Rhinolophus ferrumequinum: one gene and its partners. The protein of the gene in region 2 interacts with the protein of the main gene of each other region in a biochemical or structural test. Links are inferred from orthologs where the notes say so. Each region holds a gene or a part of one and is shown on either strand. Other genes may lie near its edges.

Evidence for each region.
Region 1: the proteins of KPNB1 (region 2) and nuclear pore complex protein Nup153-like form a complex in vitro, tested with the Homo sapiens proteins (4 studies listed by BioGRID and IntAct, with this or other methods). The link is inferred for Rhinolophus ferrumequinum from reciprocal best matches to the Homo sapiens genes KPNB1 and NUP153.
Region 3: the proteins of KPNB1 (region 2) and KPNA4 form a complex in vitro, tested with the Homo sapiens proteins (2 studies listed by BioGRID and IntAct, with this or other methods). The link is inferred for Rhinolophus ferrumequinum from reciprocal best matches to the Homo sapiens genes KPNB1 and KPNA4.

The regions. Positions count from the first base shown.
Region 1 is NC_046292.1:77,275,380-77,285,920, reverse strand, and holds the start of nuclear pore complex protein Nup153-like, read right to left. Parts: upstream 4,730-10,541; 5' UTR 4,212-4,729; coding exon 4,101-4,211; intron 1-4,100. UniProt on the Homo sapiens protein: Component of the nuclear pore complex (NPC), a complex required for the trafficking across the nuclear envelope. Functions as a scaffolding element in the nuclear phase of the NPC essential for normal nucleocytoplasmic transport of proteins and mRNAs.
Region 2 is NC_046304.1:35,251,509-35,262,565, reverse strand, and holds the start of KPNB1 (importin subunit beta-1), read left to right. Parts: upstream 1-6,663; 5' UTR 6,664-7,005; coding exon 7,006-7,045; intron 7,046-7,144; coding exon 7,145-7,203; intron 7,204-9,285; coding exon 9,286-9,468; intron 9,469-11,057.
Region 3 is NC_046285.1:79,281,877-79,293,239, forward strand, and holds the start of KPNA4 (importin subunit alpha-3), read left to right. Parts: upstream 1-7,123; 5' UTR 7,124-7,338; coding exon 7,339-7,407; intron 7,408-11,363. UniProt on the Homo sapiens protein: Functions in nuclear protein import as an adapter protein for nuclear receptor KPNB1. Binds specifically and directly to substrates containing either a simple or bipartite NLS motif.

The DNA of each region.
Region 1 (10,541 bases), on a different chromosome or scaffold from region 2:
TCATCACAAACCAAATACACCGTTTCTTCAAACAACTCAATACTTGGATTTATTTCCCTATACACTTAATTGGCTGGTGTTTCTATAAGGAAAATATGTTAAAAGTAAGTATTTAAGAAAGTAATAATAATTTAAGGTTTGGTCTTATCACTTAGCAAATAAGTCCTTAATCCAATATGAGCCTACAAAAAATTGAGCATCAGTATGTAAAGGAAAAAGCTCCAGAAAGAGGTAGCAAAATTCACAGGCAGTTAAAACATTTAAATCAAAAGGTTCTATCTATTTAATCACAATAATTTTAAATGAGTCCTTACTTTATATGCCAGGCCCTAATCTAAGACCTTTACTTCTATTATTTCATTTAACCCTCACAATAATTTCCACTCTACAGATGAGTAAATTAAGCATAGAGAACTTAAATAATTTGTATTTATTTACAGGTTTATTACAAGTCCTGGCAGAACAGCGATTCAAACCTGAGTACTTGACTCCATTAGAGTACTCTTTCCATTCCTACTGTGTTTCCCCGAAAATAAGACCTAGCCGGAAATAAGACCTAGCCGGACAATCAGCTTTAATGCATCTTTTGGAGCAAAAATTAACAAGACCTGGTCTTATTTTACTATATTATAAGACCGGGTCTTATACTATACTATACTGTACTATACTATCCTATAATATCGGGTCTTATATTAATTTCTACTCCAAAAGATGAATTAAAGCTGATTGTCCAGCTAAGTCTTATTTTTGGGGAAACGGGGTATTACCATGGATAGAATTAAATATTTAGGACAAAGCAAATAAAGATAAAATAAGTCAAAACTACTTAGTGACTTCTGAAATGAGTTCAGTATTCAACCTCTAAATATCCCTCCTTTTCAAAACTGAGAACACTCTTTAGTCATCAGATACGAAGTAGGACATACTTATTTGGAACAAAGTATTATATAGAAGGTAGCAATCCAACAAAACACCACCACCAAAAAAAAACCACACTAACATATAAAGGAGTGTTATTTAGGCAACTCATGGTCTGTGGGCCAAATTCGGCCCTTGGCTGGCTTTTACACGGGCCTCAGGCTAAGAATGATTTTACATTTTTTAAACGGTTGTGAAAACAAAGGAAAGAACTTTCAGCAACAAACCTAAAATATTTACTATCTGGCCCTTTACAGAAAACATTTGCAGACTCCTGGTCTAAGTTTCTAAATAGAAATGGGGTTTCCTCCCCTCCTTTTTCAAATAGGCTAATGCAGGAACTGACTTGTAAGACAAACTACAACCTAGGAAGATAAAATGAATGGATTCCCTTAGCTCCAAACCAGAAGATAAAACCTCTGAAGCACACCTCCCAAAAAGGGCAAAAATAAGTAGTTCCCTTGCACCAGGAGGCTGGCAGGAGGTTCTACCAGAGCCAAGGTTCTGGTTTGCCCATGGGCTCAAGTCTTTTGGGGTGGATACTAAGAAAAGCAGCTTGACTTCTCCAGAGCTGACTTTCTGGGCCTGACAATCTGCACAAAAGGAAATCGGAAAGGGGACTGATCAGGTGACATGAACTAACCACATCCTCTTCAGTGACTGGTTCACTCCCAACTAGAAAAATGACAGCATTTCCTAAATGTATGTGGGCTAAGAATTGGGGGCGGGGGGTGGGGGGGGCATGTAGGAGAGAAGGCAAGTGAAAACAGTCAACTTACATTATTCGGGGATGTTATTCATTTTTGCTTCTACCATTCTTAAGTTCCTAACCTTCAGTTAATTGAGTAAGACAATGGATTTCTGTCGCCACAACTTCAAGATGCCATTTTAATGATCAGAAGTTAAAAAAACATAAACTTCAGATATATCTCAGCAGAGCTAATCCAGAAGAAGTCAAAACAGGAAATTACAAGTCAGTGGAACACATGCAAAAGTCACAGGTAATGCGTGACAGCACAAGCCAGTTGGCCTGACAGGCAATGGCAAACCTCCATTAGCTAACAGTGCCAGATCTCTCATTCTTATTCCAACCCTCCACTACACAACCAAAAACCCCAGTTTTGCCCAGAAACCCTTGGACACTTAAATCAAATAACATTCATATAAAACATGCCATGTCATGAAATTGCTTGCTATTCATGATGACTCAGCAGCTGCTGCAAAACAGAGGTGGTAGCCTAGGGTAGTAAGCAGCAAGCAGGTAGTCAGTCTGTAAGTCCACAAAAGTCCCAGTAAGGAGTAAAGAAAGTCCTTATTTTCAGATTTAAAACTCGGTAATATTACATATAATATTATTGTGTATATTCCTGGATACTTTTATGTGCTATTTTCTGCCAATATTAACACCCCACTGTTGATCAAGAAACTCCCAAACATCTTTTATCTTGATTCAAAAGCTAAAAATCTATTTTATTTTTCAATTAAATGACTGAAGCAAGAAGCTGAAAGTATTTTGGATGAGGGAAATGATCAATTATCATGCTCTAAAACAGAACTACAAAGCCTAAAATCCTATCCACTCTTAAGACAATTTGGATCATAGGTGTTATGTTGCTAAGGAATCACCTCCCCAAATTTAGATTTTTACCCAAGTACATTTAAAAATAAGCTGTGATTATAACTTTTGCCACCTAGAATATATTAGTTCCTTTCTAAAATGCCCAGACCATCCAATGATCTGTATTTAAAACATTTCATTTTCTTATGTAGTAACTTTAAGGAGATATAAGAAAGCAAACAGCTATTCTTCACGAGAAACAAAAAGCATGTGTCTAACTTCCATTCTACAAAAGGATTAGGTTAAATGGCCAGGCTTGTGACCTGAATTCTAATCTTAAATCTGCCTGCAAGTCCCTGTTCCTCAAAAAGAAATCTGAAAACCAGGCACTTTCTTTATATATATGAGAGAAAACTGGCGGGATTTAATAGTAATGCCAAGACTTCTAACCATTAGTAGGAAAATACTTAAAATTATAAACCACAATTTTACTATTAAAAATTTCCAAGTCTTTACTTTCAAAATGCTGTTTTTTAATGATACAATTTAACACCAGCAAACACATATTCATCATCCAGAATAAAGCAATCTAGGAAGTCTACGTTTAAGAGAATGCAACAAGTTATCAGACCCTTTTGTTCTACTTTTGTTTTTTAACAAGTTTAAGACACACTTACTTCGCACCTTAATATCACTGAGAAGTTTTATAAATAACTTTTATTAGGATAAATTCCTTTTCATGATTTCAAACACCCCTGAATGTACAAGGTGCTTAAATTATAAGAGCACCAACATTCCTGGAGAGTCAAAAGTACCTAAACTTCTAGAATACGCCCCATAATATTAAAATATTTTGTGCATGAGATCAGAAGTGGCGTCCTGGTCAACTGTGCATAATGGCCAATTCTAACCTCCAAAATACAAGGTGGGGGAGGGGCATATGGGGCGAGGAAAGTGTCTCGCAGCGCAGAAAAGACGTAAGGGTGGAGAGGGACTTTCAAAATGCCCCACTACTACCGTAACTATAACCCGGCTAAGAAAAAAAAAATCTAAGCGAGTGCTCTCAGATCGGGGGATCAAGAGTGGGGGAGAGGGAGAATTAATCACTAGGCTGAGACTAGGTTATTCCACTTTTAGGGTAACAGCACCCCGGTTAATCCCCAGTGCCCCGGAGACAGATGCCTCGCGGCAGCCCCCTTCTACACACACTGAAACGCGGGAGACTAAGAAAACAAGTGTAGGGGCCTCCAGTCACATCGTTTTCCTTTCTCCCTCGAGAGGACGTGAGTAATACCCTCAAACCCCCCAATCCCCGCCAAAAACGAAAGAAACGCGCGCATTACGGGCCTAGAATTTCTGTTCCCGCCCTGTGCCTGTTGGGGGAAGCCCCTGGCCGGGAGGGTTGGGAAGCGGAGGCCGGAACCACACGTGTTTGCTGCAAGGATCGGCCTGTCTTAGACCACTTCCCATCGCCATCCCAGCGGCCTGAGCTCCTACCGCCTCGCTCGAGCCTTTCCTCAAGCCCTCGGGTCCCGTCCACGTGGGGCACCAGGGCCCCTCACCTCCAGTTCCCTCCCGCCGAGTTCCCGACCCGCTAAACCACCCAAGAGTCGGGGTCCCGTACCTGGTGCTTTTGTCGCCCTTGCTGGTAAGGCTTAATTGGCCCCTGATGGCAACGCCGCGACCGTATCTTGCCGCCACCGCCCCCTCCTACTCCTCCGGCTCCCGAGGCCATGGCTGAGCCTCGGCTGCTTCCCGCTCCGGGGCGGGCAAGGGGGCGGGAGAGGCAGAAGCGGCCGCCTTAGAGCCACCCCCCCGCCCAGCCCCAACCCAAAAGTCCGTCCGCGCTGCCCACTCTGTGGGGCACAGGCACACCAGGAACCGCGAGGTTGCGAGCGGAGTGAAGAGAAAATGCGCGCTGGCAGCTGGGAAGGCCGTGGCGGCGACAGAGGCCCAGTAACTGGCTCCGTTCCGGCGGACTCCGGCGGACCACCTCCTCTGTGTATGTCACGGTCTCTATGGAGATCCCCCGCAGAGGACAACCAGAGCGGCCACTCTCGCTGCTAGGCCTAACTAGACCGCCAGCTCATGGCGATTCTTCTTCCGCCGCCCTAGCCGTGGCTGCCGCAGTTGAAGCCGCCGGCGCCGCCCGCCTACCCCTCCCCTCTGCGCACAGCGCCCGCCCCGGCGTCGTCGTCGTCGTCGTCGTCGTCGTCCCTGCAGTCGCCGCTGCTGTTGTGCCTATTGCGGCTGCTACGGCCGCCGCCGCGGTCGCGAGCCAGAACTCCGTCACTCGTCAGCGCCCGACACAATTGCATCATCACCCTGCGATCGGGTGATTGGCGAGGAGGAAGGAAGGGCCGGTTAAGCCCGCGCGCTCTCGGCCGCGGGGCACGCTGGGCAACGTAGTTCAACGGAAGTAAGCGACTTCTCGGAAAGCAAGAAGCGGAAGAAGATGAGCGGGTTGCCGCAGAGGCACAAAGCCAGGGGTTCTGCTCCTTTTACTGCTCTTGGCTGTCAACTTACTTTGAAAATGGCGTGTAATATCAAAGCAATAACCTCCTTCCCACTCTACTTCTCCCCATTGATAAAGCGGGCAGAAAGTAAACGATAATAAAATCAAAGCAGCTAATAATATAAAAAGAAAAAAAGGGGTTGAAAAAACAGTGTCCATTATCTTTAATCCTCAAGCAGAATTAGAAAATATATACAGTTTCATTAATGTTCCATTAAAAATATAGGGGCTTTGTTATCAAACACAAGGGTTGGAATTCTGGCTCTGCCACTCTAGCTTGACCTTGGATAAGGCAAAACCTGAGCCTTGGATTCCTCCTTTATGAATTGGAAACTTTAAAATCCACTTTATAGAGCTGTTGTGATCATCTATGTAGAGCACTTAGTATCTGTTATCTGGTATACAAAAAATGCAATAAATGGTTACAATTATTACCTACACATCGATTCACATTAGAGGTAAGTAGTATATTATCAGTAATAAAAGTACAAAGTACTGACCCCAAATAGAAGGCATTATATTTAGGAAAGTGCATAAGTGAGCTTGGCTCAAGGCCTGAATCCACAAAATGTAGAAATTGTGGGAGCTAACCCTTAGAAAGGCTTTGGTGACCACGTGGTCCAACCCTCATTCAACGGACCAGACAGGAGTCCAGAGAATTCAAAAAGCACATTTGTTTGACAGAGCTAGGCAGGACTATAACCCAACTTCTCTGTTAAGATTTGAGACAACCAAATAATCAGGGAGAAAAATCAACTACTGTGAAAAACAAAACAAAACAAAAAAACAGACTTTATATTCCATTGGAGACAATTGACTTCAAAGCTTATAAATAGCTTTGGAGTCCCAAATAAATAATTTCAAGTCTATCACTTACTAGGTGTGTAGCATTGTGGAATTTTAAATCACTGCATAAATCATACAAGTCAAATTATAAAACCAAACTTACAGTACCTCGGAATTTGTAATACCTTTCAGCACCTAAGGAATCTTGCTGTATCAGGCATAGGTTTACAGAGCAAATAATTTTCAGTGGCATCTGTGACCATAAGCACCAAGACTATTAAAAATTGCCAAATATGATAGACAAAATTCATCTACTTCCTCTTCTGCTTCCTTGTTCTAGCTTCATGCCCGCCTCTACTACCTTACCACTAGACTTTTCCAACTGAAGCACCTCATCCTTCTTAAACATAATTGTTTCTCTTTCACAATTCTTAGCTAGGTATTTGACAAGTAGAATAAAATAATTCCAAATAAGTTAACTCACAGGGAAGACATGTTACCTGAATCTTTAACTGGGCTACATATATAGGAAATTGAACTATAGCCACATCCTTTTCCCTTTCACCCTACCAGACTCAGAATTTCCAGCATAGCAGAGTATACTGGCTGCAACTCAAAATCATCCCTTTTGGGGACTATAAATTAATGTGTGGGACAGCCTTCATAGCCAAGGTTTGAAAGAAAGGGACATGCAAAAGAGCTAGGCCAAACAAGACAAAATTTCAGAATAGAAAATTGGTGGGATTTTTGGAAATGTGATGAAATCCACATCCCCTGTTAGTCTTGATCTCAATTGTTTACCCCACCTTTCAGTTATTTCTTTGAAATAAAACAATATTTGAGGGAACAATAATACATTAGTCCCACATTCGTATGACTTGAGTTATTGCAAACTTTACCAGTCTTGACAACAGAGAAGGAATAAGAGGCAAGAAGAAATTTGCATTCAAAATTTGCCACTGCCTAACTGAACCCTGAAATAGTACTCAGCCTCACTATGGGATGCCTTAACTTCTGTGCAAAGTTTGGGATTCTAAAAAAACATTGTTCCTCTGTTCAAATTCAGTTTGAAGTTACAAATCACCAAACTTAGAGTTCCTCACACATCTCTGGTCAGAAATCCTTCTTCAGTTAGGAATTAGTAGTAGTAGTAGAACGAGTTATAATAAGTTATTCTGATTTGAAAACTTAGAATTCGCCCATATTCAAACATACAAATAATTATTGAATATTTCTCTAAGAGATATTACATGTAAATTGGAAAAAAATATCCAATAGCATGGAACAATAATAGGGATTCTTGAAATCCTTCAACCATATTAGGAGGTAACAGTTTTTTTGAGGAAGGGAATAATTATTTAGTATTTATAATTAAATAGTTTCTTTAAACGATGAAATTTAATCTATTAAAACCCTATGAGATTCTGTAGTTCACAGAATTGGAAGCTACGAAGCGTGATCAAACAATACAGTGAATGTTTAAATAAAAAAAAAGTTACAGTAAAAGACACATTGCCATTAATTCCCCCTCACTTCGAACACACTTATCCCTTCATTCTTGCCAGTTTCTGAAGCAGTCCTGGAAGTCCTCTTTTCTGAGTGCATTTAGTTGTGCTGTCATGGCTGCCTGGATGTCCTGAACCATTTTGACTTTGGGGAAGAGCCCGAAGTCGCACAGTGCCAGATCCGATGAATAAGGTGGATGAGGACACATCATAATGCTTTTATTTGATAGAAATTGCCATATACCAGAAGCAATGTGTGACACGGAGCATTGTCATGATGGGGGATGATTTACAGCATACTTTAAAACACACCTTCTCTCAACCATAGCTCACACCCAACTGGCTGCATTGAACAAGTTGAAGCTTGTCACAGACTGTTACTAGGGTTCAACATGCCACTTTTCCATATTGAAGATCACTGCCTTTCCATTGGATGCCATTTGGCAGCAGCATTCACCGTATTTTGTGATCACAATGGAGAGAAATGTTCTGTGTCACACATCACTTCTGGTACGATAACTTCTGTCAAATAAAAACTTTATGCGGGTGGCCAGGTGGCTCAGTTGGTTAGAGTGCAAGCTCTTAACAAGGTTGCCAGTTTGATTCCCACATGGGCCAGTGAGCTGCACCCTCCACAACTAGATTGAAAAACGACGACTTGACATGTAGCTGATGGGTCCTAGAAAAACACAGTTCTGCAATATTCCCCCCACTAAAAAAAAAAACAAAAACCATTATGGTGTGTCTTCATCCACCTTATTCACTGGATCTGGCACCATGTGACTTCTGGCTCCTCCCCAAAGTCAAAATGACCATGAAAGGTAAATGTTTTGAATCGATTCAGGACATCGAGGCAGCCAGGACTGCACAACTAAAGACACTCACGAAAGATGACTTCCAGAACTGCTTCAGAAAGTGGCAAGAATGACGGGATAAGTGTGTGTAAAGCCCTCATGAGTATTTTGAGGGTTATTAATGTCTTTTACTGTAATATTTTTTTTAATTTAAACATTCACCATACTGTTTGATCATGTCCCGTACTACTTGCAAATTTTGTATCATGAACTATCTTCCTAGTCATCCTTTCCTTTTTATTATTAACTTCTATTCCCATCAGTCTTTAGGCCTAGACAAAACTGAAATAGCTCTAGGAACTGCTCTTTTGTTTTGGGTTGTTTCATTGAGTGTGTTTTAACAGAAACTCCTTTATCCCTTACTAGTTTTTTTTGTTTTGCTTTTTGGGTTTTTTTTTTTTTTTTTTTTTTTTTTTTTTTTTTTTTTTTAGTTTCAGGTGTACAAAACAATGTAATAGTTAGATATTTATACCCCTCACAAAGTGATAGCTCCCTCCCCCAATCTACTATCCCTCTGACATCATATATAGCTGTTACAGTTTCACTGACTCTATTCCTTATGCTGTACTCCACATCTTGTATATATATATATATATATATATATATATGTGTGTGTGTGTATATATATATATATATATATAAAATTATAGTTGACATTCATTATTATTCAGCTTCAGCTTCAGGTGTACACTGCAGTGGTCAGACACCTACACCATCCATGAAACGGTCTCCCTAGTAAGACAAGTTGTCCATCAAATACCCTACAAAATCTTTACAACATTATTGATTATATTCCCCAAACTGTCTTTTTCTTAAACCCCAAGAAGATGAGGAATTTTTCTTATCCTGAATACATAGAGCAGTGTTCAGACATAGCAGTCTCACTGTATGTACTATATAGCTCATTTCCCTAAGATCCAGTTATTACCACTGCCAACTGTTTCCATTTTATTGTAATAAATAATTCAATGATGAATACAGCTAAACTGCTTTACATAACATTTTTCTAGCTTGCATGTAGTTTGCATGTATTTGTTTTCTAGTAATGCATAACACATTAATATTTCTCGAATTCATTTATTTATTCATAATAAAGCATTTATGAGCATCATGAACAAATCCCTCTGATAATGTTATACAGAAATTCTCATGTAATCCTAACAATTCTGAAAGGAATTTTTATCCTCATTTTACTAACAAGGAAGCTCCACATTTGAGGGCACTGAGGAGATAAAAAAAAAAAATTGAAAAAAATCATTTAAAAAATAATAGCACATTAAATATTTGAAATGATTTCTCCTTATTCCAAAGCCCACATTCTTGCCATCACTCTGCCAATTTAGGAACCTACCTACCGTGTTTCCCCGAAAATAAGACCTAACCGAAAAATAAGCCCTAGCATAATTTTTCAGGATGACATACCCTGAACATAAGCTCTAATGCATCTTTTGAAGCAAAAATTAATATAAGATCCGGTCTTATTTTCGGGGAAACACAGTACGTACCACTCAAAACAGTTTTTTCTTCTAAAAGATGTTTTTTCCAGTTCAATGGAGAACTCCATACTTTAGAAACCTCTCTATCTGATGGCCTCCACACTGACTAAAATGTTTAGATTCCAGTCTATCTTATTATATAGTGAGAATGGACATTTGCCAACTGTTTGATGTCATAGCCATTCGAAAGACCAGACTCAAATAGCTGGCTTCAGATCACCTGGGACGGCAAGGACCAAGTAGCCCCCATCATGGCAAGGGGATATAAAGTTACGGTGTAAGATGGGAGTGAAGAGTACATCACTCTTCCAGGAAAGGAAGAAGCAGAAGAAGATACGCGGTATTTGGGTACAATGGATATTGTACATTAGGTCTCCAAGTCTGAGAGAGAAGCCACATTAGCAATATCAACAGAATTCTATGTATATCATAGAAACAAAAGAATGCTGTGAAGGATGAGAAAAAACTCACAGCTATTTATATTCAAACCAAGTAGCAGAACATGACACAAAACACAGAAGGACAGGAATTCCTTCCCAATAATCAAGTTGGAAACAAAGATTAGCCCAACTTCACTTTTCTTAATCCTGGACCCAATTTTTTCAGCCAAAACAGATGGTCTATTGGGAGAGACCTCAATTTATGAAAAGTCTATTGCTACTAAGGTCCCTCTCCTCCACAAACTTTTTAATTTTTTCCCTCATATAATATGGTAACTGCCAATTATAAATTAGCAAATAGAGAGGCTGCTGACCCTTCTCTAAGAGAAAAGGAGTAGTCACTAATTACAAATAAAATACAATTTTGTCTAAACCCAACCTGGATTGAAAAACAGCCTTTATAGATATATTCTTCAAAAGATAAGATAATTCTGGCCAAAGAAGTATTTAAAGCTGACAATTACAAGAA
Region 2 (11,057 bases):
AAAAATGTACAAATGTGAGATAATAGAAAATACATAAGTGGCCCCCAGTTCCTGGCACAGAGCTCCTAAAACCCTTGTAATTCCCTAAGTGATAGGGGCACTAGGGCATCTCTTGTTCTAATATTTGGTCTTTGACTCCATCCCTGACACTGGGCTCCTAAAACCCTTGTGCATCCCATGTGGTAAGAAACCTAAGATCACTTTCTGTTCTAATGAGGCAACTCTGGGCAGGCTCCTGGATGGGGGTTGGTCACAACGACCAAGCCATAATTAGAAGCGTGGAATTTTCAGCCCCCCTCCCCCGCAACTTCTTTAGAGGGGACGGGGGCTAGAAATTGAGTTAGTAATTGATCATGCCTACGTGAAGATGCTTTCAAGAAAAATCTCACTAGTAGGGGGTCTGGGGAGCTTCCAGTGGGTGAACACGACCATGAAGTGGAAGCATGATGCACTCCAACTCCACAGGGACAGAAGCTCCTGCGCTAGGGACCATCCCAGACCTCACCCCACATATCTCTTCATCTGGCTGTTCATCTGCATCCCTTATCATATCCTTTAATAACCTGGTAAATGTAGGTAAGTGCTTCCCTGAGTTCTGTCAGCTGCTCCAGCGGAACCCAAGGAGGGGGTCGTGGGATCCTCTGATATTGTAGCCAAGTCAGACAGAAGTGGTGGGTAATCGGGGCCCACTACTTGTGATTGGCACCCGAACCGGGGGTCAGTCTCATGGGACTGAGCCCTTATCCCGTGGGGTGGGAGCTGATGCTATCTTCAGGTGGTGTGAGAATTGAGTTAAACTGTAGGACACCCAGCTAGTATCAGAGAATTTCTTGATGGGGGCAAAGCCTACACATCTGGTGTCGAAAGTGTTGTGTGGTAGTAGTGTGAGAATAAAGGAGACACACAGGAAGAAAAGAGCTGGGGTTTCCCTAAAATAACAACGCAGATAATGGAAATTTAGTATGTATTCAATTAAAGAAAGAAGAAAACAGAAATATGAGAAGAGCCCTGGCCCAAAATATAAGATTCCCTGTAACACCTGGCCAGGGAGAGAAGCCTTAGTGAGCTTTATAGGGTTAGTGACTCAGCGGGCATACTTCAGTGATTTTTCAATTTTCAGCTTTTTCTATTGGTGCTTAAAAAAAAAAAAAAGTTTAAGATGAAATTAAAAGGCTTTATTTACTTCTGTGTTGCACTTTCAGAGCCAGTTCAAATATGTTTAGTTCATACTATTAATGCAACCCGATAAAGAGTTGAACCAATTTAAAATTCTTAAAAGTTACATTTAGGGGGTGACAAAAATGTTACATAGTAATACTTTGGTTTTCATTTACAATTGAACTTTTTGGGAAAAATATACCAATTATTTTAATAGATACAATTTGGGATTACAGGTGATTTCTGCTTACCCTTGATGCTTTTCAAAATTTACACAGTGAGGAGCATGTGTTACTTTGATAACCGGAAGGACAAAGGAAGAGAATAAAGAATTGAATAAATGAAAGGAGAGAGGCTGAGGGTGTTTGGTCTGTCTCCAGGCTCTCTGGCAAACACAGGAGGGGGTTTGGATTAAGACTCATTAAATAATTTGCTCCACTTCCCTCATGTCTCTCAGAGGCCCTCCTAACTCAGGAGTCAGGCTTCTATATTCTTGCTTTTCCCCCCTTCCTTCTGTCTATGTCCCCAGTACTAAGTCCCTTTCTTCTTTGGAGGAGGGGGATACAATAAAGACAATTATCACCTATGTTCAGAAAATTGTTTAAAAAGGTTTGGTTGTGCCAGGTGCCACAGGGTCCTCACCCCTGAGCTTACAAATCCTTCTAACTTTCTCCCTACCCCTTTTCCTGGATTTTAGAAAACTAAAAAAAATATTTTGCTGATCAAGAAAGTAATACCTGTTTATTGACCACTCCCATGTTATACTTGAAATGCTCTGGAGGGTGGGGGAGACAATCAATTAACGTAGCTGAATGGACGAGTTAACAAGAGGACAACCTTCAAGACAGAGGATGAGGAGGGAGTTTTAGGCAGGCGGCAGCCTAGCACAGCGCTGAGCACTGCTTTAGGATCAAGTGAGATGGTTGGCTTGATGGGAACCAAGGTCCATGTGGGGCAAGTACGGATAACTCTGGAAAAGAAGTGCCTTTCACAAAGTCACTTTTCATGGGCCATAAGGGATCGTTGCATGTTTAGTTACACACGCTTCATTCAGTTAACAAATATGTGAGCACCTGATATGTGAGGCACAATTTTAGCAACCAACGAGACAGACAAGATCCCTGCTCTCATGGAACTTGCATTCTAGTGGGGGTGGGGACTGACAGCAGAGAAAAGATAATTTCAGGTTTTGAGACATGTTCTGCAGACAATCAAATAGGGTCCTGTCCTAAGGAGTATCCACGGAACGCCCTTAGAGTAGCCAGGGAAGGCCTGAAGAAGTGACACCTGATATGCGACAGGAATAATGGGCTAGAACAGCAAATCACAAAATCAGGAGACTCACAGATCATGGTGTGTTAAAGGAAAAGAAGGCTAGAGCCTAGTGAGCACAGGCAAGGCCAGGGGAGACGAGAATTCTTTTATGATAATATTCTGCTTATGGGTATTGAAGATAATAGCAACGTCTTCTTGGCTCCTTTCTCTCCCTTGTCTGTTATTTAGAAGTGTGTGAAAAGTCAGGAAAATGGCTATGATGTTTGCCCCATCGTCACTAAGCAGAGGGACACTCAGCCTTGCGGATGTCATAGTCACCTCCATTCTTCCTCAGCGCTAATGAGGCCAAGGTTTAACCCCTCTCCAGGTCAGTCAGCTTTACGCAGGAGGAGAGAGCACCAGGTCTCAGCCTGACTGCTTCTCCTCTGGCAGTCTTCTCATATACGAGCTGTGGGTTGGGAGGCGGGGTGTGTGTGTGTGTGTGTGGGAGACCTGGGTGGGGAAACTGCAGCTGAGCTCGACCATTCACCAATTCACTTGCTTACCAGGTACTGGTGAGTACCTCCTGGCACAAGCACCTCACAGAGAGGCTCCTGGTTTTGTTTAGACCACCCAACAGTGCGGTGACATTCTCCCATTTCACAGATCCAAAATGTTAAGTAAATTATTCAGGATCTTACAGCAGGAAGTGACAGAGTAAAACGGAAACGAGTTATTCTCTTTAATTTCAGAATTTGTTTATTAGACATGAATATTCCTGACATTCAAAAGTTATAGAGTAACAACAAAACCCATTACTTCATAAATAGCTCAAGAAATACAACTCAAAGCCTCCTTTGTACTTCTCATTCTTAAACGATGTGGACTCCAATTCTTCCCACTTGAGAAACACTAAATGGCATCACCATCCATTTCATAATACAAACCAGAAATCCAAATAGGTACCAGTGACATTGACACTTCTTTCGATCAGTCACCAAGTTCAATTAACTTTGATATCTATCTCTGTTTCCACTATTCTTTCTACCCTTCTCCTTTCTACAAGTATGATCCCTTATTTGGTTACAATGGCCTCCTAACTGGTCTCCCTGCATCCCTGCATCTACAGGCATCCTTCTTAAAACCTTTCAATGGCTGCTCTTTGCTCTTAAGATATAGACAAAATAGGATACAAGGTCTCATATGGGCTTTCCCCTACTCAATAATCTGGCTTTATCTCAATCTCTTGTTCTGTATTTTGGAGGCCCTGGCCTTCTTCCAGTTCGTCCTTAGAATCCCCAAGCTCCCTTTTACCACAGGGCCTTTGCATATGCTGTTCCTCCCTTCTCTACCTGAATAACACTCTTCTATTTCTCAGCTAAGTTTTCCCTGAGCCCCCTAACTAGGTCAGTCCTTAGCATCTGTCACTTTTACAACTTAACATTTGTTTGTGAGATTAACTGATTAGACGATCTTCCTTAATGGGCCAAGGACCACGAACTACTTGCTTGGTGCAACATACATGCTAAATAGCCAATTTATATATAACATATAACACACCAGGCAGTGTTCCTAGCACTGAACATGTATTAACTCAGGACCTCCCAAAAACCCTGTATGAGGAAGGTATAATTAGCCCCATTTTACGTAGTAAGCAATTTAAGTCACATAAGCTAAGAAGTGGCAGAGCTGGAATATGAACTCAGGAAGTCAGTTTCTGGAGTCTGTGTGCTACATTCACACTTCGGTGACTCACTAGCATCTGCTGAAATGAAGAGTGTTGAGTGATTTGATAGAGACTAGACAGCACCATCAGTAACCTTAGTTGAACTAAAAAATCATTTCACTTGGGTTTTGGTAAGGATCTTATATTTGACTGGAACTTTGCTGCAAAGCATTTATCTTCCCAGCATTTTAGTCCAGCTGCTTTAAAAATCCACTTGCGGGCCAGCCCGGTGGCTCAGGTGGTTGGAGCGCTGTGCTCCTAACACCCAGGCAGAGGTCGCCAGTTCGATTCCCACAAGGGCCAGTGAGCTGCACCCTCTACAGCTAAGATTGTGACCAGCAGCTCGCCCTGGAACTAGGCTGCCGTGAGCAGCCGGAGCGTGGCATAAGCTGCCAAGTGGCCAGCAGCCATCGTGTGCAGCCATGAGCAGCTGGTGGCCTGCGTGAGTGGCCGGCAGCCAGCGTGAGTGGCCAGCAGACAGCTTGGGCTGCTGTGTGCTGCCATGAGCGGCTGGTGGCCAGCATGAGTGGCCGGCAGCCATCATGAGCGGCCGGCAGCCGGCGAGAGCTGCCATGAGCTGCTGTGAGCGGCCGGCCGACCAACGACTGGCAATCGACTGCCTCAGTGGGGGGGGGGGGGGGGGAGCGCAAGACTCATAATACCAGCATGGGCCAGGGACTGTGTCCTACACAACTAGACTGAGAAACAACGGCTTGAACCAGAGCGGGGGGGGGGGGGGGGGGGGGGGGGGAAGCGGAAGAAGGGTAAAAAAAACAATCCACTTGCCTTTACTGGTATTATGACTGATGTTGCGCAGAGGAGAAGGCTCAGCAAACTGCTAGAGGGCAGAAGGCTCGGAGTAAGACAAAATTGTGGATCATTTGGAGTATGGGTAATCCACATAAGGACAATTCAAAGATTTTCATGGATGTCATCTCACTTAACCTTCATTGATTCCTAATGAAGTTACACACACAGGGCAGTTCTTCCTCAGTTACTAGATGAAGCAAAGCCTGAGGTTAGGACTGCTAAGCCATAGGAAATCAACTAGTCACAGGATGGTGAGCCTCGCGTTCCCACACGTCAGCTTCAGAATTTCAAAGGTATCTCTAGCAGAGAAATAGCTTTTCCTCTTTTAAGGATTAAAGATAAATGGCCAAACTTGCCTAATTCTTGGGTGGAACCTCTCAGTAAGAACAGTTCCTCCTAGGTTTTCCCAGAATGGCTAGAGTAGGGCAATTACTCCACAAGCTCAAGCTGCATGATGAAGAGGTCTATAAGCTAGTATCTACATCCAATTAACCATGTATCATATGTAACAATTCAGGAAATTCTTCACGTGGAGTCCATGTACCAATGTCAGGGGAAGTCAAGAACTGTACTGTATGCACATTTTCTTTATGAGCATTTTGCTAAGGAAAGGCTTTCATTAGTTTCTTCCAGGGCTTAGAACTTAAAAAGGCTAAGAACCACGATCCTTTAAGCCTGTACAAGCATTCTTTCTGGTTCACGGTTGTGCCTTTAAAGGCACCTTTGCAGAATGAGACATTTTCATTCCTTCAAGTACCTGGTAGCTACAATGGGGGTCTATGAGGAAATCAAATGCCCACGCCACGTGAATTAGACCTTACAGCAGCACAGACCTCAAACCCCATAAATAGATCTGAGGGAAGTGATTAGCATTCACCTCCTTGGAGGGGGAAGCTGGGTGTAAAGCCAAGGGCACTCAGTGCGCTTGAGTCCAGTCCCCAGCAGGCCACTAACCAGCTGTGCAACCGTGCGCAAGTCGCGTACCCTCTCTGGGCTTCAGTTTCCACATCTGCAAATTGGAAATTAAACCGCATGGTCTTCAAGGTCCTAACCAGCCACAAGCCTGGTACCAATGAGGCTTAGCCATTAAAGCAGTTTCCTGTGGGAGCGGTGCAGGGCTTTAACGGTCTCCCCTCCCCCGCTCAAGCCCGCGAAACTGTTCAACACGCCCCTCCGAGTGACTGCGCTTTCCCAACCGCAGCCCGAACACAGCTCCGCCCCCTCCCGGGGGCGTCCCATCGTGCCCCGCGCTGGGCTCCTACAGCGGCGGGGCGCCTGCCGCCTTTCCGCGGCCCCGACCCCGAACTACTCTCCCCAATTCTCCCCGGTGCCCTATCCTATCAACGCCTAGTATCCCAACCAATCACGCAAGCCCGGAGTCTCGCCTTCGGTCCACTCTCCTCCCAACGTTCAGCCGGTCTGAGCGCAAGGACCTTACCAGGCCAATCCAATCAGCAGCCGGCTCTGGCCTGCCCCACCCCGATTTCACTCCCCTCGGCCAATCCATGTGCCCCATTCCGGAGCCCGCCCAGCCAACCCGGGCCTTGAAACCAGCGGGCGAATGGGTGCAGGGCAGCCCTGCAGCGCTGACCGCCTGGCCAATGGGAGATACCGCGTGGCCACGGCGGCAGCCAATCGATGTGGAGCGCGGTGCCGCCGCGGAGAGGTCCGGCCCGAATATCCCTCCGCCTTCCTCCCTCCCTCTCTCTCCCTCCCTGCGAGCCGCCGTTCACTTACCGCCTCCCTTCCTTCTTTCTCCCTCCGCCACCAGAGCACCAGCCGCGCTCTGAGCTGCCCCCGGGGTCCCTCCCCCGCCGCCAGAGGAGCAGCTGCCGCCGCCGCCAGCAGAAAATTGGGAGGGAGGAAGGAAGGAAAGGAGGAAGGAAGGGAAGCCGGAGCGACTACCAAGAGGGAGCCGGTGAATGGGCTGGTGGTGACCCCCGCCCCCCACCCCACCCTCCCTTCCCACCCGACCCCCAACCCCCATCCCCAGTTAGAGCCGCCGCCCGAGAGGCCGGGCCGACGTCTTAGGAGGAGTCGCCGCCGCCACCTCCGCCATGGAGCTGATCACCATCCTCGAGAAGACCGTGTCTCCCGGTAGGACGCGGGGGCCGGGGGTCGGGCTGAGGTGATTGGGTGGGGGGGAAGGGAAGCCCTGGTTCCTCTGACCCTGTCCCCTTTCCCACTTCTCCCCAGATCGGCTGGAACTGGAAGCGGCGCAGAAGTTCCTGGAACGTGCGGCCGTGGAGAACCTGGTGCGTGCCATCCCGCCGTCCCCCATCCCGCGGTCTCCCCATCCCCTGCGTGCGGGCCTTCCCGCCCTCCCGGAGGCCCAGGCCTCGGGAACCCACCCCGCCCCATCCCGTCCCCCTCCCCCCCACCCGGTCCAACCTAACCCCGCCATCGGGAAGCCGGTGGGTGTGTCCCGCCCCGAGCCCCTGCAGCTGGCCAATGGCGCGGCGCGCCGGGGTGACTGCTGTCCAATCGCCGCGCGGCCTGTGGGCGGCGGTGCAGCGGGAGGGAGAAAAAGGGAGGGAAGGGAAGTTAGGTTGCGCCGCGCTGCGTGTTCAGCAAGGGTGGGGGTGGGGGAGCCGGGCCTAGGGGCCATGTGGAAGCTCCGAGCCCAGCTGCCCTCCCTGTTCTGACTGGGGCCAGCTTCTCCTTCCTGTCCCGTGGCCCCTGTGATTTTTCTCCACCTACTTCTCAGAGTTCTACCCTTTCCTATCTCCCTTGGTCTCTGCTCATCGCCAGGCCTGGCACCCGAATGCCTCTTGACCCATTCCGACAATATTTCTCCTTTTCCTTCTTTTCCCGGGGTATTTTTTTTCTTTCTTTTACTTGGATGAGTAAAGACTTAATCTGTACCCACACAACACGCTGAGCTCATCCTTGAGATCGGAACTGTTTCCAGATGAAATCACAGAGAAAAGTTCCTCGTTTTAAATATTTTCAATTTAAGGGGTACAGAAAAAATGAAGCTAAGTCCACTAGAGACCGGACTTCTGCATAAAAATGTGGGATGGATTGGTTGAAATAACCTGTGTGCCAACAGTTTCTCTTTGGTGTTCCTCTCCTGTTGGGAGGATGGGGAGCAGAGGGAAGGGTGGATGTTTCTTGACATCTTTAAAGCTAATAGGTAGTAAGTCTAAATAACACTGTAACCAGATGTGTTCTTTTGTGTTACCTAGGCAAATAAGCAAAAAAAAAAAGGGACAGCATATTTTATACAAACTGTCTTTGATTTTTTCCCCCCTTTATGTGCTAGGTTTTACTAACCTTTTTTTCTTTAACTTTCCATAGAAAGGATTTTTTCGACTGAAAACATTTCCATTTAGGGTATATTCCTGTTTCTGCTTTTGCTAACTTGCAAGAAGCCTTTTACCTTATTCCTAACATTACTTAGTGGTACATAATTAATAAAACTTTTAAGATTTACCTTCTGTGATTGCAGAACTTGTTAATGGTAAGGAACTATCTGCTTTTGGTTTTCCTGATAACTTCAGGCAAAGCTTTTAGACAGCTTTTTGCAAGGTAGAGGAGTGTGTTACATTTTTTAATAATGGGAGTAGTTTTGGGGATCTGCATTACAAAAGATTATGCTGTTTAGAAATCCACTATTTTTAGTGGACAACTCAAGTAGAAAATGTATAGGAGACTTGAGTGTTAACTGGTGGCTCTTAAATATAAAACCATTTTCCTTGACATTTTTATCTTTTCAGTTTTCCCGTTTCTAAATGTTTGCCAGTTTTTTTCTTATGAATCTGCTTTATTCATTGTTCGCCTCTTGCTGAACACTCAACTGAAATACAGAGGACTGGCCTCCTAAGTCTATATTTTAGATTTATAAGTATTTCCCTCTCATACAAGAGTACCTGCTTTCATGAGATCAAAAGCCACCCTGAGTATCATTCCATTCGGACTTAAGTTTTTTTAATTTAGAAAAATTTTTCTACCCAATGGTAACGTAATTCATTCAACAAATATTTGTCGAGTACTGTTCTAGGGACATAGAAAAACCCTCTGACTACCAGATTGTCAAACTTGCTTTATTTCTAGGGGTGTTAATGTGAAGAATAGGGCACTAAGAATGATGATGGTAGGAAAATCTGTAATTACTTGTTAAATGCTGAGGCTCCTTGAGTAGATGGATGACTTCTTCAATGTATTAAGTAACATTTTTATAGGAGTCGTAAAGTTATTTTTGAGTTTTCTGAGTCGTTATGATACATTCTAAAAAATTTAGGTTTTCTCAGTGTTTTTGGTGTTCCATAAGCTATTCTCAGTTGGTGAAATTCTCAAGAGATATTTCCATTCATGGATGCTGCTTCTTTTAACAGCCCACTTTCCTTGTGGAACTGTCCAGAGTGCTAGCAAATCCAGGAAACAGTCAGGTTGCCAGAGTTGCAGCTGGTCTACAAATCAAGAACTCTTTGACATCTAAAGATCCAGATATCAAGGCACAATATCAGCAGAGATGGCTTGCTATTGATGCTAACGCTCGACGGGAAGTCAAGAATTACGTAAGTAACTTTGCTCTCTTTGGTCATATAGCCTAAGGAACAAGAAAAATCTTTTGTCAGCTTTTTTGTCGTTTGCACGGCATAGAGTTATAATACAGATTGCTGGGCTCAAACCTTCACTTGATAAAAATTGTATTTGATTTAAATCTTTCTCAGTTCAGCTTGTCTGTTCCCATTAATGGATCAGAATTGTTTTCAGATAACCGAGGTAGACTGTAGCAGTTTGGGAAACTTAATTAGATGCCAGATTTTGTAGAATGTCTGGAGAATTAGAATAGTATACAAATTGACAGTTCCCAGAGTTGGGTTATAAGAATCACTTAAGGAATTTGTTAATACGCATTTTCCAGTTCCCTCCAGAAATTCTGATTTGGAGTTTGAGGCTCAGGGATATTTTAAAAACTGTCTTCCCAAGCGATTCTCCCACAGTCAGCCAGCACCCCCAACTCTTGTTGAGCTTTTGCCGTAGATGATTCTCGTTGTTTGGTGGTTTAGGCATGGTCCTGTGTGTGGTCAGAAGGGGAATTAAATGATCTCTTGGGCTTTTCAAGCCTTAAGAGTTTGTGAAACAAGATTGGCGTTCATGGTGCTTTTATCTACTTAGCAAATTATGAAAAACTTTCTTTAGAAACATCTGGCTTTTGATCAAGGCATTTAGAGTGGGCTGGTGAATTTTGTGGAAGATTGAATGTCCCTTGTTGATCTGCATCATGGAGTTTCTGTGACTTTTTTTTTTTTGTTGAATTAGAAATCCATAATTGTAACTGCAGCAAAATACTCAAAATACATGGACTGATGTGCTTTGCTTTTTTTTTTTTTTAAATGAGATTTTTTTAATGGTCTGTCTTACATGGATATAAGGCACAAAGGGGGAGTAAGTCGAGCATCGGTGCAGTCATCATTGGTCCTTGGTATTTGAGGGGAAACCAGTGGGGGATTCCATGTATACTTGTACAGATAATGGTTATGCACATATTTGCTATTTCCTGATTCTGGTTGTGAACATTAGGTAAATGAGTGCCCCTTTAGGCAGTAATTTTTCTTTCTAGTTATGTACCTCCTCCTCTCTCCAGTTTTGCATGGAGGTATCCATGATGGGGGGAACGAGGTTATGCAGGCAACTTATTTTCAATCTTCTTTGGAATACATAGAGCTATTTCTGTCTATATTCTGTTTGCCTATGTAGTAACATTGTAATCCCCTCTTCAGTAGTGTGATATAAAGGAAGTTTTTTCCATCAATCACTGCAAATCCTGCTGGTTATACTGTAGTGCCCAAAATGAGATGGCGTGATTAGAATTGTAATTTGACTTTTTTTTTTGGGGCACATCACTCTTAACATCAAAATTTTTCTAAAATTTGAATAATTTGTATAGGCATTGTTGAGCCCTTGTGCATGAAGAAAAAATTAGCAGTTATTTGGGCCTTTTTCCCATTTGTAGCACACCTAGTAATTAATACTTTCTCAGTGCTAGTGGTTTTCTTTTTTGAAGTCTGAGTTGGATTGAGAGCTAGTTTCTTATTTATTTCAGGTCATTGAGTATTATTATTAGGATCAGCCCTAATTTTAAAAAAAATAACTCTCAGTA
Region 3 (11,363 bases), on a different chromosome or scaffold from region 2:
CAATGTGAAAGAATTAGGAGTTAACAGGTTTTTCTTTTTTCATTGTTTTGATTGTGAAGGCATCCCCTCTGAACAGGGTCACTAAAAATAGAGAAGTTAACTCTGCATTTCTGTTTTGTTTGTCGATGTCAGAGATGGTTCCAGGAGATCAGCCCCGATGGGGCAGGAGACCCCACTCCTGGTTGCATCTGTAAAGGCATGGCCAGGAGGGAGAGGCTGGTAGAGGGAAACCAGAATGCCTGGCAAATGGGCTGGAGTTCAGGAGCAAAGGGAAAACAGTTAATGGAGACATGTTCTGCCTCTTTGGAAATTGACTCAAGAACTGGGACAGGCCTGAGCTTTCAAGGAGCTAGGGAAGGCAGTGGCAGAGGATATGAACTTTAAGCTAACAACACAGAACTCAGAACAGACTTCACAGAATGGAGCCAGTCTTTTAGGAGAATGTCATCAGGAAAATGGTACTTAAAAAAACTCAAGAAAAAAACTAGAGGCAGAAAGGGACCCAGGAAAATATTGCAAAAATAAATCTATTCAGAAAGTAAAATGGAATTGGATATTATTGACCTTCAAATTCTGTCCTTGAAGTATATATTATTTGGTACATTTTTTCCGAGTAAGAGCTATATAAGCATTATTTTAATTTGCAGTACTTTGAAATTTTGCATGACATATCACCATGTATCACTGTGATGCCTAGTTATCTTTATTTTAGCTCTGTCCTTATCTTAGGCTGCAACCATCTTCTAAGAGATCAGATCTAGTAGTTCTTAATGTTGCAGGAACCAGTACCATCAACATCAAGTGAGCACTTGTTAGAAATTCAAATCTTCAGATGATATCCCAGACTTACTAAATCAGAAATTTTGGGGATGGAGTCCACCAGTTTGGGTGATTCAGTCTTGCACGCGGTTCTAATGCACTCTAAAGTTGAGAACTACTGCCTCGGGCATTGCAGAACTGCACCTCTTTAGAGCCTGTTTAGGAAAAAACACTCTTCTGTTTTCTGTTTGTTCACAGCACTACTCTCGCTTCTGATCACCAGATGTGTACTGCAGTATCTTCCCCACACCAAACAATTCTGCACCCACCAACTGGCTGTCCTCCAATTTAACTCAGCTTTGATACTACAGGAGAGAGCGTCAGATCCCACAGGTTGAGGGCTCCTCACCCCACTTCAGACATCAATCACAAGTTCAGGTTGTCACCTGTGCTTTTGACTGACCAACTGTAAATTGGAGGTTCAATTCCTTGGGTTCAATTAATTTGCTCAACCAGCTCACAGAACTTGGAAAAAGTTTACTCACTGGATTACGGGTTTATTATGAAAGGATAATAACACAGAAATAGCCAGATAGAAGAGATGCATGGGGCAAGGTAATGGAGAAAGGGGGCATTGAAGTTCCATGTCCTACTCAGGCTCACCACACTCAGCACCTCCACGTGTCCACTAAATGGAAGCTCTCCAAACCTGTCTTTTTTGGGTTTTTATGGAGGCTTCATTATGAAGGCATGATTGATTAAATCGTTGGCCATTGATTCAACCTCCAATCCCTTTCCCTTCCCCAGATGTCAGAGTGGGGGTAGGGCTAAAAGTTCTAACCCTCTAATTACATAGCTACTTCCCCTGGCAACCAGACCCCCTATCCTTAGGGACTTTCCAAAAGTCATCACATTAACATAAACTCAGATGTAGTTGAAAGGGGTTTATTATGAATAACAAAGGACACCCAATTTCATTCTGGAACTATTTCAGAAGGTGAAAAATAAAGATGCCCCTATAACTCAGGAAATTACAAAGGCTTTAGGTGTTTCATGCCAGGAAACGTGGAGGAAGACCAAATATCTATTTCTTTATATAAATCACAGTATCACTGAGGTCCAGCTGTGGTATAGGCCAGGGAGACAACATGAGTGTTTTGTCTGTTCAGGCTGCTATAACGAAATAACATAAAAAAAAAAAAATACCATAAACCGGGTAGCTTATAAACAACAGAAATTTATTTCTCATAGTTCTACAGGCTGGGAAGTCTAAGATCAAAGCTGATTTGGTGCCTGGTAAGCACTCACTTCCTCATAGACTGCCGTTTTTTCACTGTAACTTCATTTGGAAAAAGGATGAGGGAGCTCTCTGGGGCCTCTTTTATAAGGGTACAGATCCCACTCATGAGGGCTCCACCTTCATGACCTAATTACCTCCCAAAGGGCACACCTCCAAACACCATCATATCGGGTGTGAGGTTTCAACATGTGAATTTGGGGTGGGGGGAAGACACAAACATTCAGCCCATAGCAATGGTCAACTAGAAATGGTGGAGGTTTGGCAGCTAGTCAGATCTGGAATCAAACTGGGGCTCCAGCACTTGTTAATTGTGTAAGGTCTTGAGCAAGTTGCTTTTCCTCTTTGAACCTCAGGTTCCTCACATAGAAAATGGAAATAATAACAACTACCTTGAAAGGTTACTATGAAAACTGAAATTTATGTACCTACAAGGTAATCAGTAGTACTGGCTCCGGTGTCAGGCCCAGTTCAAACACCAGCTGTTTACTGTGTGATTTTGGGCAAATTACTAAACCTCTCTGTGCTTCAAATTTCTCATCTGTCAAGTGGGTAATAATATAATTTAATAATATAATTGTTGTGAGGGTTCAATGAGTTAATATATATCAATTGCTTAGAAGATTGCCTATCACATAATTGCTCAATAATTATTATCTGTTTATAATAGTAGGTAAAGTATGAACTGGCCATGGAATTCTAAGTGTAAGGAACGATGTAATTTTTGTAACTTCATCATCTAACACAATTCCTGGTTATCTGCTACATAATAGAAATACAAATAGTAACAAAGACAATGGATGTGCTCCTCCTGACCAAAGTTGTAAATCCAAATATTTTCCTCATAGAAATATTGCCACATATTGTAACTAGGTTCTATGACATTCTTCTAAGTACCTTATAGATTAAGTAAGGTCTAACCTGAAACATCTAGCCACTAATTATGACCAAGTTTTTGTGCACCTATTTCAAAGAACTAACCTGTAAACAAACTTTTGGCATACTACCCATTTGTAAGTCACTATACTCAGTTGATGCTATTAACACAGAATTTAACTGAGGAGGCATAGTGATCTTTCCAGGCTCACTGATTTCAAGGTTCCAAATAGTGTTCTGTTATACTTATCAGTCTCAAAGTTCCCACTACTTCCCCACTCCCCAAGTTCCTCAAATTGTTAGCCGAATGAAATTTTTTTTTTTAAGGAACACTTATTAACATCTAGTTCTGGGGAACTCTCTGTTTGAGTACACTGCTCTAAGTCATATGATCAGTCTCTTTGACTACTTGGCCTCTTAAGTTGCTCCTTCTGTGGTATTTATATTTTAAAAATTAAAAACGAAGAGTATATATTCTTTCATTTTCCAATAGTTTAGGCCCAAGTAAAAAGCAAGTGAAAAAAGCTTTAGGAAATCTATGCATGTTTGCCTGGCGGCAATATAAATAGATATCAACCAATAATCAGTGATGTATACACATGAATTATAAGTTTTTGTCCAATTAATTAGTTAAAACTAAGCTTAAAAAAACTAAGTCGAAGAAAAACCAAGTGGCTCATTTCTCTCCATCAAATTAATATTAACAGCTAGCCTTTTAAATCATCATCTTTTACCATTCAGGGACTTCAGTCAAAATATTCTTTTCCAGGCTCCTCAAGTTGTAAGTCAGAAACGTTTTCTCAATAAAGAGGAATAAATGAAATCCCCCAATACCTGATCAACTATAATTTCCTAAGAAAATTAAGGTTCATTGTAGTACTAAAGGTCCAATGTTTTTCTCTTATAAAAAAGAACCAGTTATAAAAAACACAAATTACATTTTAGTTAGGATTTAGCAACATGTAAAATTGCTTGTTTCAGCAAATAATACCTAGTTTTGCTCAAGAAATCACACAGAATTCTCCAAACAGTAACAGAAACTATATGATTCATAGTTTAAAGAGAGATTCCACAATCTTCGATTTAATGTATCATGAGAATACTCTAAACTGCTTAAATGAAATAATTATCAATTATAATTCTTTTTGAAATTACATTTGATCAACTAAAACCCTGTGTAAAGCTTCACAAATCCTCACAAATCTCTCTTGCAGAACAGAGAAAGTTTCTTTATTCAGAAAGTAACTCTAAGAGAATTTCATGACACATTGAAAGCAATTATCTCCATAATATTTTAGACTTTTCCTATACTGAAGTACTAACAAGGCAGGATATTAAGTTACCTGATATTGAATATCGTCTTTGAAAACAGGTCTCATATATAAGCATACCTCCTTTTATCGCTTTTCACTTTATTTTGCTTCATAGATGTTGCATTCTTCACAAATTGAAGGCAAGACACTCTACCAGAAAAAATGATTACGACTTTGTTTATTGCGATTGGCTTCATTACAGTGGTCTGGAACCAAATCCACAATATCTCCGAGGTATGCCTGTATAGGTTTTATAGTGTTTGGTTATATTTCATAACTATATTTCAACACAAAAAACATTTGTTAAACAGTCTATGTTAAAATAGACTATTGATGGTATCGATGGCTGCATTTTACTACTTTCTTAGTTCAACAAGTTAAATTTATTAAATCTCCTAACTACAGCTAGAGCTACCATATATTGCCAATTAGGTTACCAATGTGCATTTAGAGCTATTACCAACTGCTTTTCCCCTCTGATGAATTATTTATCTCCTATCTGGGAACAACTGGGAGCACAGATACTAAACATGTAAACTGGATGGCAATGGACAGTGATCATTTCAAATGAAACATTTAGGCCAGCAAACAGACTACCTAAGCATTATAATTAAGGAAATTGTTCATTTTAGCAGTGTGTCACGACTACTTTTAAACATGTGGGGGGCTTGCCCTGAAACCTATGTCTGATCTATTCCCTGACTCTTAATCCTGGAATGAACATGATACCAAATTAAGAATTTTTAGAAGGAACCCAATGTAAATTAGAAACAATAAGAACTCAATCCATATTTTTAATGAAGAAGTGTTAGCTTGTTTTTAAACTTATGGAATATGCACCCAAAGTAGCTTGGATTCAGGTCCTGCATTTGTCAAATAGCCACTGAGAGTCGATAACGTTCCAGGTACTACTAGGTGCTGGGTATGTAGAGAATGAAAGAAATATGGTCCGTGACTTCAGAGAGCTTATTGTCTAAAAAGGAAGACAGACAGACATTAAACAAATAAAAACAAGACTGAAATTACAAATTGTGGTTATTTCCTGTTTGTACTGCATCTTTCTCAATGGGTAACTGTGATCACACCCTTCTTTTAGGAGTATTCTGCAGAGAACCTCCAGTTGTTTAATCATCAGAGACAATCAGTTGTAGCTGGGAGACATGAAGACATTTAATGGTAGATAATTGCATAACCTTTATCAAGAGAGCTATCATGGAATTTATTCCAAAAAGTACAAAATATTCATCTATACATGCATTATAGGGTGGAAATTCACCAGTAATTTGTTGTCTTGAATTCTGCTCATGACAAAAATCCATGTTGATGGAAAAACAAATGTATTTCAGATTTTCAACTGAATTTTCTTATCCTAAACACATTTGGAAAAAAATCAGTGCATTAGTGTGCAATGTTATTTCAATTAAATGATTCTTTGGGTTATAAAGATTTATAATGAACTTCATCATTTAAATTTAAAATCGACACTGAATTTACATTTAAGTTAACCTTCAGCATGTATTATTTCCAAGTACAGCTTCTGTTTGCCTAGGCAGATCAAAAAATACAAAATATTGAGGACTTTAAAGGTGTTATTCCCATTTTAAACGTTTTATCTCTGCATATTGTTCTAGTCAAAAATATACCAGTAAGGAAGTGGGAGGGAAGGAGAGGAGTAAAAGTTCCCAAAGGAGTTTGAATCAGGGACTTCTTCCCCTACCTCACCAAATTTAAACACATCCAAAGCTTCTACACACACACACACACACACACACACACACACTTTCTTTCAGACCTCAGTTGCTGCTGACTACTTCATGTTTTTCCTGCACATTTGAGGTGCTATTAAATATACTTGTAAACAATTTCCTTCTCCGTTTTTCTGAAATATCTGAATACGTTCTTTTGTAGCTGGTCTTATTTCTGCCCCTGGCAATAACATTTCTGATAAAGATGTTTATCCTTGGAATTCATTTCCTTTCTCAACAGAGTTACAATACTACTACTTTACTGTGTCAGGTGCCACGGTCCCCGCCTTACAGAATTTAGGACTTTGTGGCCAAGCAGCTTCTTTAACTTTCTATGACGAAACACCTAGGAGGTGATATCTTCACAAGATCCTTAGCGCTTCCCAAGTTCCTACCTGTTGCGGGGACTTGGTCAGAAGGGTTGAATCAGATTTGTCTAATGCGTCCTTTTCCTTTTCCACCCATGGTTCCCTCCCGCTTTCCGCTGAGCCTCCGGAACGCGTCACCCCAGCCAGTCCAGGCCCCAGGGCCCGGCAGGAACTCCCCGCAGTGGAAACAGAGCTAGGTGGGCACAAGGGGGTGTCCCGACCCGGGATGGAACCGAGGCGCAGCTCCCACTTCCTTTAGCAAAGACAGCGGAGCGCGCAAGTAACGCCTGGGGGAGAGGGCGCACTTGAGAAGAAAAGAACTTAGTTTAGGCTTCCATCCACGACCCCAGATGTCTGGGGCGGCCCCTACAACTGGAGTAAACCAAGTCGTTCCCTGCCTTCTCTTTCCCCTTCCCACCTCCCCTCAAATCTAATTCTCTTTCGCTTCCTCCCCCTAGCTCCGGGGGCACGTGGTCCCTCCCGGCCCTGCTCCGTCTCCGCCGATGCCCACCCCTCCCAGCCTTCCGGGTCTCTAACCCCTTCCTCCCCGCGTCGCTTGCTTTCCTTTTCGTTCGCTCTTCCGCCCCCGCTCTCCATCATCCTTTCTGATTGGTCGAGCTTGGTTGGCCAATCGGCGAGCTAGGCTGGCGGCGGTGGGCGTGGCCACGGCACCGGGGCCCTCAGACCGAGGCTGCCTCCCCCTCTTAGCCGGCAGCACATTCCGCCGCTGTTGCCGCCGCCCGGCCCCGCGGTTGTCTTTGGTGGAGCTGCCGTCGCGCTCGGGTTAGGGCGGGGGGTGGGACGGGCGGGGAGAGGAGAAGGCCGCGACAGAGGCAGGTGAGAGGAGTCAGGAAGGAAGCGGCGGCGCGGCGAGCATAGCAGCTCAGGCGGCGGCCCGGTTCCTGGGAGTGTCGGTGCGGCGTGGTGGTTGGGGCGGATCCCGCGGGGCCCGGGCGGGGGAAGGAATCACCGGCCCGGCCATGGCGGACAACGAGAAACTGGACAACCAGCGGCTCAAGAATTTCAAGAACAAAGGCCGCGACTTGGAGGTAAACTCGCGGGCGCTGGAGGGCTGGGGGGCCGTGAACCTCGGGCGGATCTCCGCCGGGACTTGGAGTGTGGGGAGTAGGGGCGGGAGCCGCCGCCGGGCCGCGGGGGAATGGCGCTGGGGGCCGGCCCGTCCGTGACGCCTCTGCTAATGCTCCGGGAAGTTTGTGTCGGGCCTGGTCCGCCTCCGCCGGGGAGCGAGGTTCCGGGGTACGGCCAGCGCGGCCTAGGCCTGCTCTGCGGAGCCGGTCCGGCGCGGGTGCGAGGGGCTGGGCCGCGCGGCGGAGAGGCCGGGCGCGGCGAGTGCGGAGGAAGCGAGTGTCTGCCGCGCTGCCCGGCCTCGCTGCGGCCCCTACCCCGGCCGCGGCGGCGATGCCGGCCCTCGCTCCGGCACCGGCGTCTGGCGCCGCGGGAAGGAGTGCGGTGGGAGGTGGGGAGGGGCGAGCGTGCGGCGACCGAGTGGGGCTCGGAACTTCCTTAGCGAGGCCCGAGGCGTCTCTACTTAAAGGCATTTTTTCTGGTCTTCCCGACTCCCACTTTACCCTGCCTCCCCCCAATATCCAAACTACAGGAGTCAACTTCTCCGTTGAAAAAAACACCCCCGGCGTGAGAGGCCATCCTGGTGATGCTAACAGTGCCTTCCTGCGGCCTGTGTTTTACTGTGGATATAGCTGATTCAAGATGTGGCTCACGGTGTGCCCTCTTCCAGGCAAAGGATGCCCCTTATTTCAGCTTGTTCACAAATCTCTTTACCCCCTTCTGAGAGACCACCAGCTGCATTCTTACATATAAAGTCCAAAGGGTTATACAAAGCTGTCATCCTCTAGTCTACAGTATCCTTTCCCTCCACCTGCTGGTGGTGGTAGTGGGGGATGGGGTGGGCTATGGAATGGCACCATCGCGTTTTGTTTTAAACGGATGGAAAAAACCTTCATTACCTTATATACAGCTGCTCCCGAGGTGCTTAGGCTACATAAGGTGTGTGGGTAAACACACACACCCCCCACAGATTTTTTGATGGAAGATTTCTTCCCTTAAGTTTTAAGAGTAAGTAAATAGGGTTGTTTTTAATCTATTTTGCATCTGAATCAAGAGTTTAGCTTTTAAGAGAAAGTGGTCAAGTCGTATTTTTTATGTTGTCCTTCTGTGCTTTTTTTATACTGAGATCTTCAAATTCCCATCACCTGTTTCTGAACTTTGAGCATTTGCTTGACTGAGATAGTAATATTTTGGGGGCAGCCCACAAAGCCATTGAATCTCTAAGGTAGTTGGTGCTGTCTTAGTGGGTTTCATAGTTTGAGAGACTATTAAATGGCTGGAACTAGGCTGTTAATTCTCAGACTGTTTTAAGGTTAATATGAGGCATTGATCTTGTGATCCCTCTTTTTTAAATGAAAAAAATTTAACATCTTTGTTGAGATAATTCACATGCCTTAGAAATCACCATTTAAATGTACAATTTATGATTTTCTGTAAATTTACCTAGTTGTGTAATGATGTGACAAAAAATTTTTTACTAATATGCATATTTAAAATGAGAAAAAAATCACAAATGACAAAACTTAAAAGCGTAAATACCACAAAGTTACAAAATCCAAAAAGTAGCAACTAGGTGTTTGACAAATCCTTCCAATCCTTTTCCTCCTCCATTTCTAGCTACATTTTGTTTAAATAGCTTCATTAAGATGTAATTTTCATACCATATAATTCACCCACTTAAAGTGGCTTTTGATATTTTCACACAGTCGTGCAGCCATCAGTATAGTCAATCTTAGAACATTTTCATCATCCTGAAAAGAAACCCAAACTCATTAGCAGTCACTCTCCATTTCCTAATCACTCTTTGTTTAGATTTGCCCATTGTGGACATTTCATATAACTGGAGTTATACAATATGTGACCTTTCGTGACTGATTTCTTTTAGGTAGCATCATGTTTTTTAAGGTTCACACACATGTTTTTATGGCTGAATAATCATCCACTGTATGGCTGTCCTACATTTTGTTTATCCATTCCTCAGTTGATAAACATTTGCATTGTTTCTGCCTTTTAGCTATTACGCACAGTGCTGCTAGGAACATTCATATACACATTTTTGCATGTACCTATGTTTTCATTTCTCTTTGGTTGTATACCTAGGAGTGGAATTACTGGGTCACGTGGTAACTTTATGTGTAACCATTTGTGGGATTGCCAAACTGTTTTCTAAAGTGATCCTTATTTTTTAAATTGATGTTCCCCTTTCCTGTGTATCTCTTACTTTAGTCAAAATAAGATTAAGTGCTGACTTTATATTAGAACAATATTATGTGATTTTAAAAACTAAGTATAAATACACATTAGGCAGGTGTTTTTTGTTTTTTGAGAAGTTCATAGAGCCTTCTGAGCATTCTCGGCCCACTTTGATAATCTTTTGTGTACATTAGGAATAGAAATATTTTCACTTTTCCACAGAAGCAAATGACAGGTGACTCTAATGGAAAGTCATACTTTCTCCTGACTTGTGACTCACTCAAAGTCTCACATGCCTGTAATGAGATGGAAACATCTTTTATTATTCTTAGAGAACACTAGAATAGCCTATTTTGTTATTAATTGCATATATATCTATGTCCCTCAAGACACTTATTATACCCATTCTCCCCCCCCACTGCTAAATATGGTTACTATGTTGTACTACAACAAATTCTAAGAAAATACTGTTTTTTTATTTGGTTGTGATGACATCTGTTTGATTTGGAGGTCTTTGGAAAGACGTATGGACTGTTGCTTTCTAATGAATTTTAGCTAATCCATTATTTCCAAAATTGCAACATGTAATCAATGTAAAAAATTAATGTAATGTTTTATACTCTTTACATACTATGTCTTAAAAATCTGGTTCGCATATTTCAATTCAGACTAGCTACATTTCATGTACTTAATAGCTACAGGTGACTATTGGCTACTTACTAGACAGCACAGATACAGAGGATAGCCTATAGAGTGAGCATTTTTTCATTTGATCTAACATTGTTTGATTTGAAATTATGAAGAGTACAAAATCCTAGAATTTTGTTTAATGTGATCTCTAACTTGGTGACCTTGGGAGAATCAGATTTACGCCTTTTTCCTCTTAAAACTAGAGGTACTTGACATCTGCTTCATGAGTGTTGTGTAGATTAATAGGTTAATGTTAGGAAGCTGCCTAGCAATTCTCTGAGTGTTTTATCACCATCCACTTTTCTGCTTGGGGGAGGAAAGAGATTTAATATGATTCAGTGTAACTTTTACTTTTACTCCTATTTGCAATTGGCTGTTTGTTTTTCTTTGTTCATATGTAACTTAAATTGAACTTAACAATTAATGGGGAAAATTTTTTTTTAATGGGGAAAGTTTTTAATGTGATATATCATTGCTCATTGAAGGGCAGTTTGGGCACAGGGAATTAGTGATCCTTCTGAAGTCATAATTTCTAAATGTTAACACTGATTCATAGCTTCCAATCTCATATTAATTCCTATCTTTCATTCTGCCATTCTGGCTATTCCAAAATGTGGTCATGCTAACTTCTTGAAAGACAAAAGCATCAAAGAAGGCATATGTCGATATCCATTTAAAATAATTTACAGGAAGTGTCAGATGATACTTAGTGCTTGGTTTCTTTCATGCAGTGTGGTAGAGGATCAACATTATTAGTCTGAAAATAGTAACCGTAAAGAGGGGACACGCAGTGCAGCACAGGAAAAGGAAGTGACCAAACTTCAAATAAAAAATTTGTCAGAATAAAGCAAATAAAGCTCATCTAGTTTATGTTTTAAAAGTAGAGGGGAAATTTTTTAGTAGACTTTCTAATAAACCTGCATAATTTTTATAAAAGTTCTGAGACTATCCAGGTTTGAATAGAACGTAAGTTATGTTAGAGGAGTAATTAGATCTTATATAAACACATCTTTTAAGAAAAAAAACTTACCCTGAA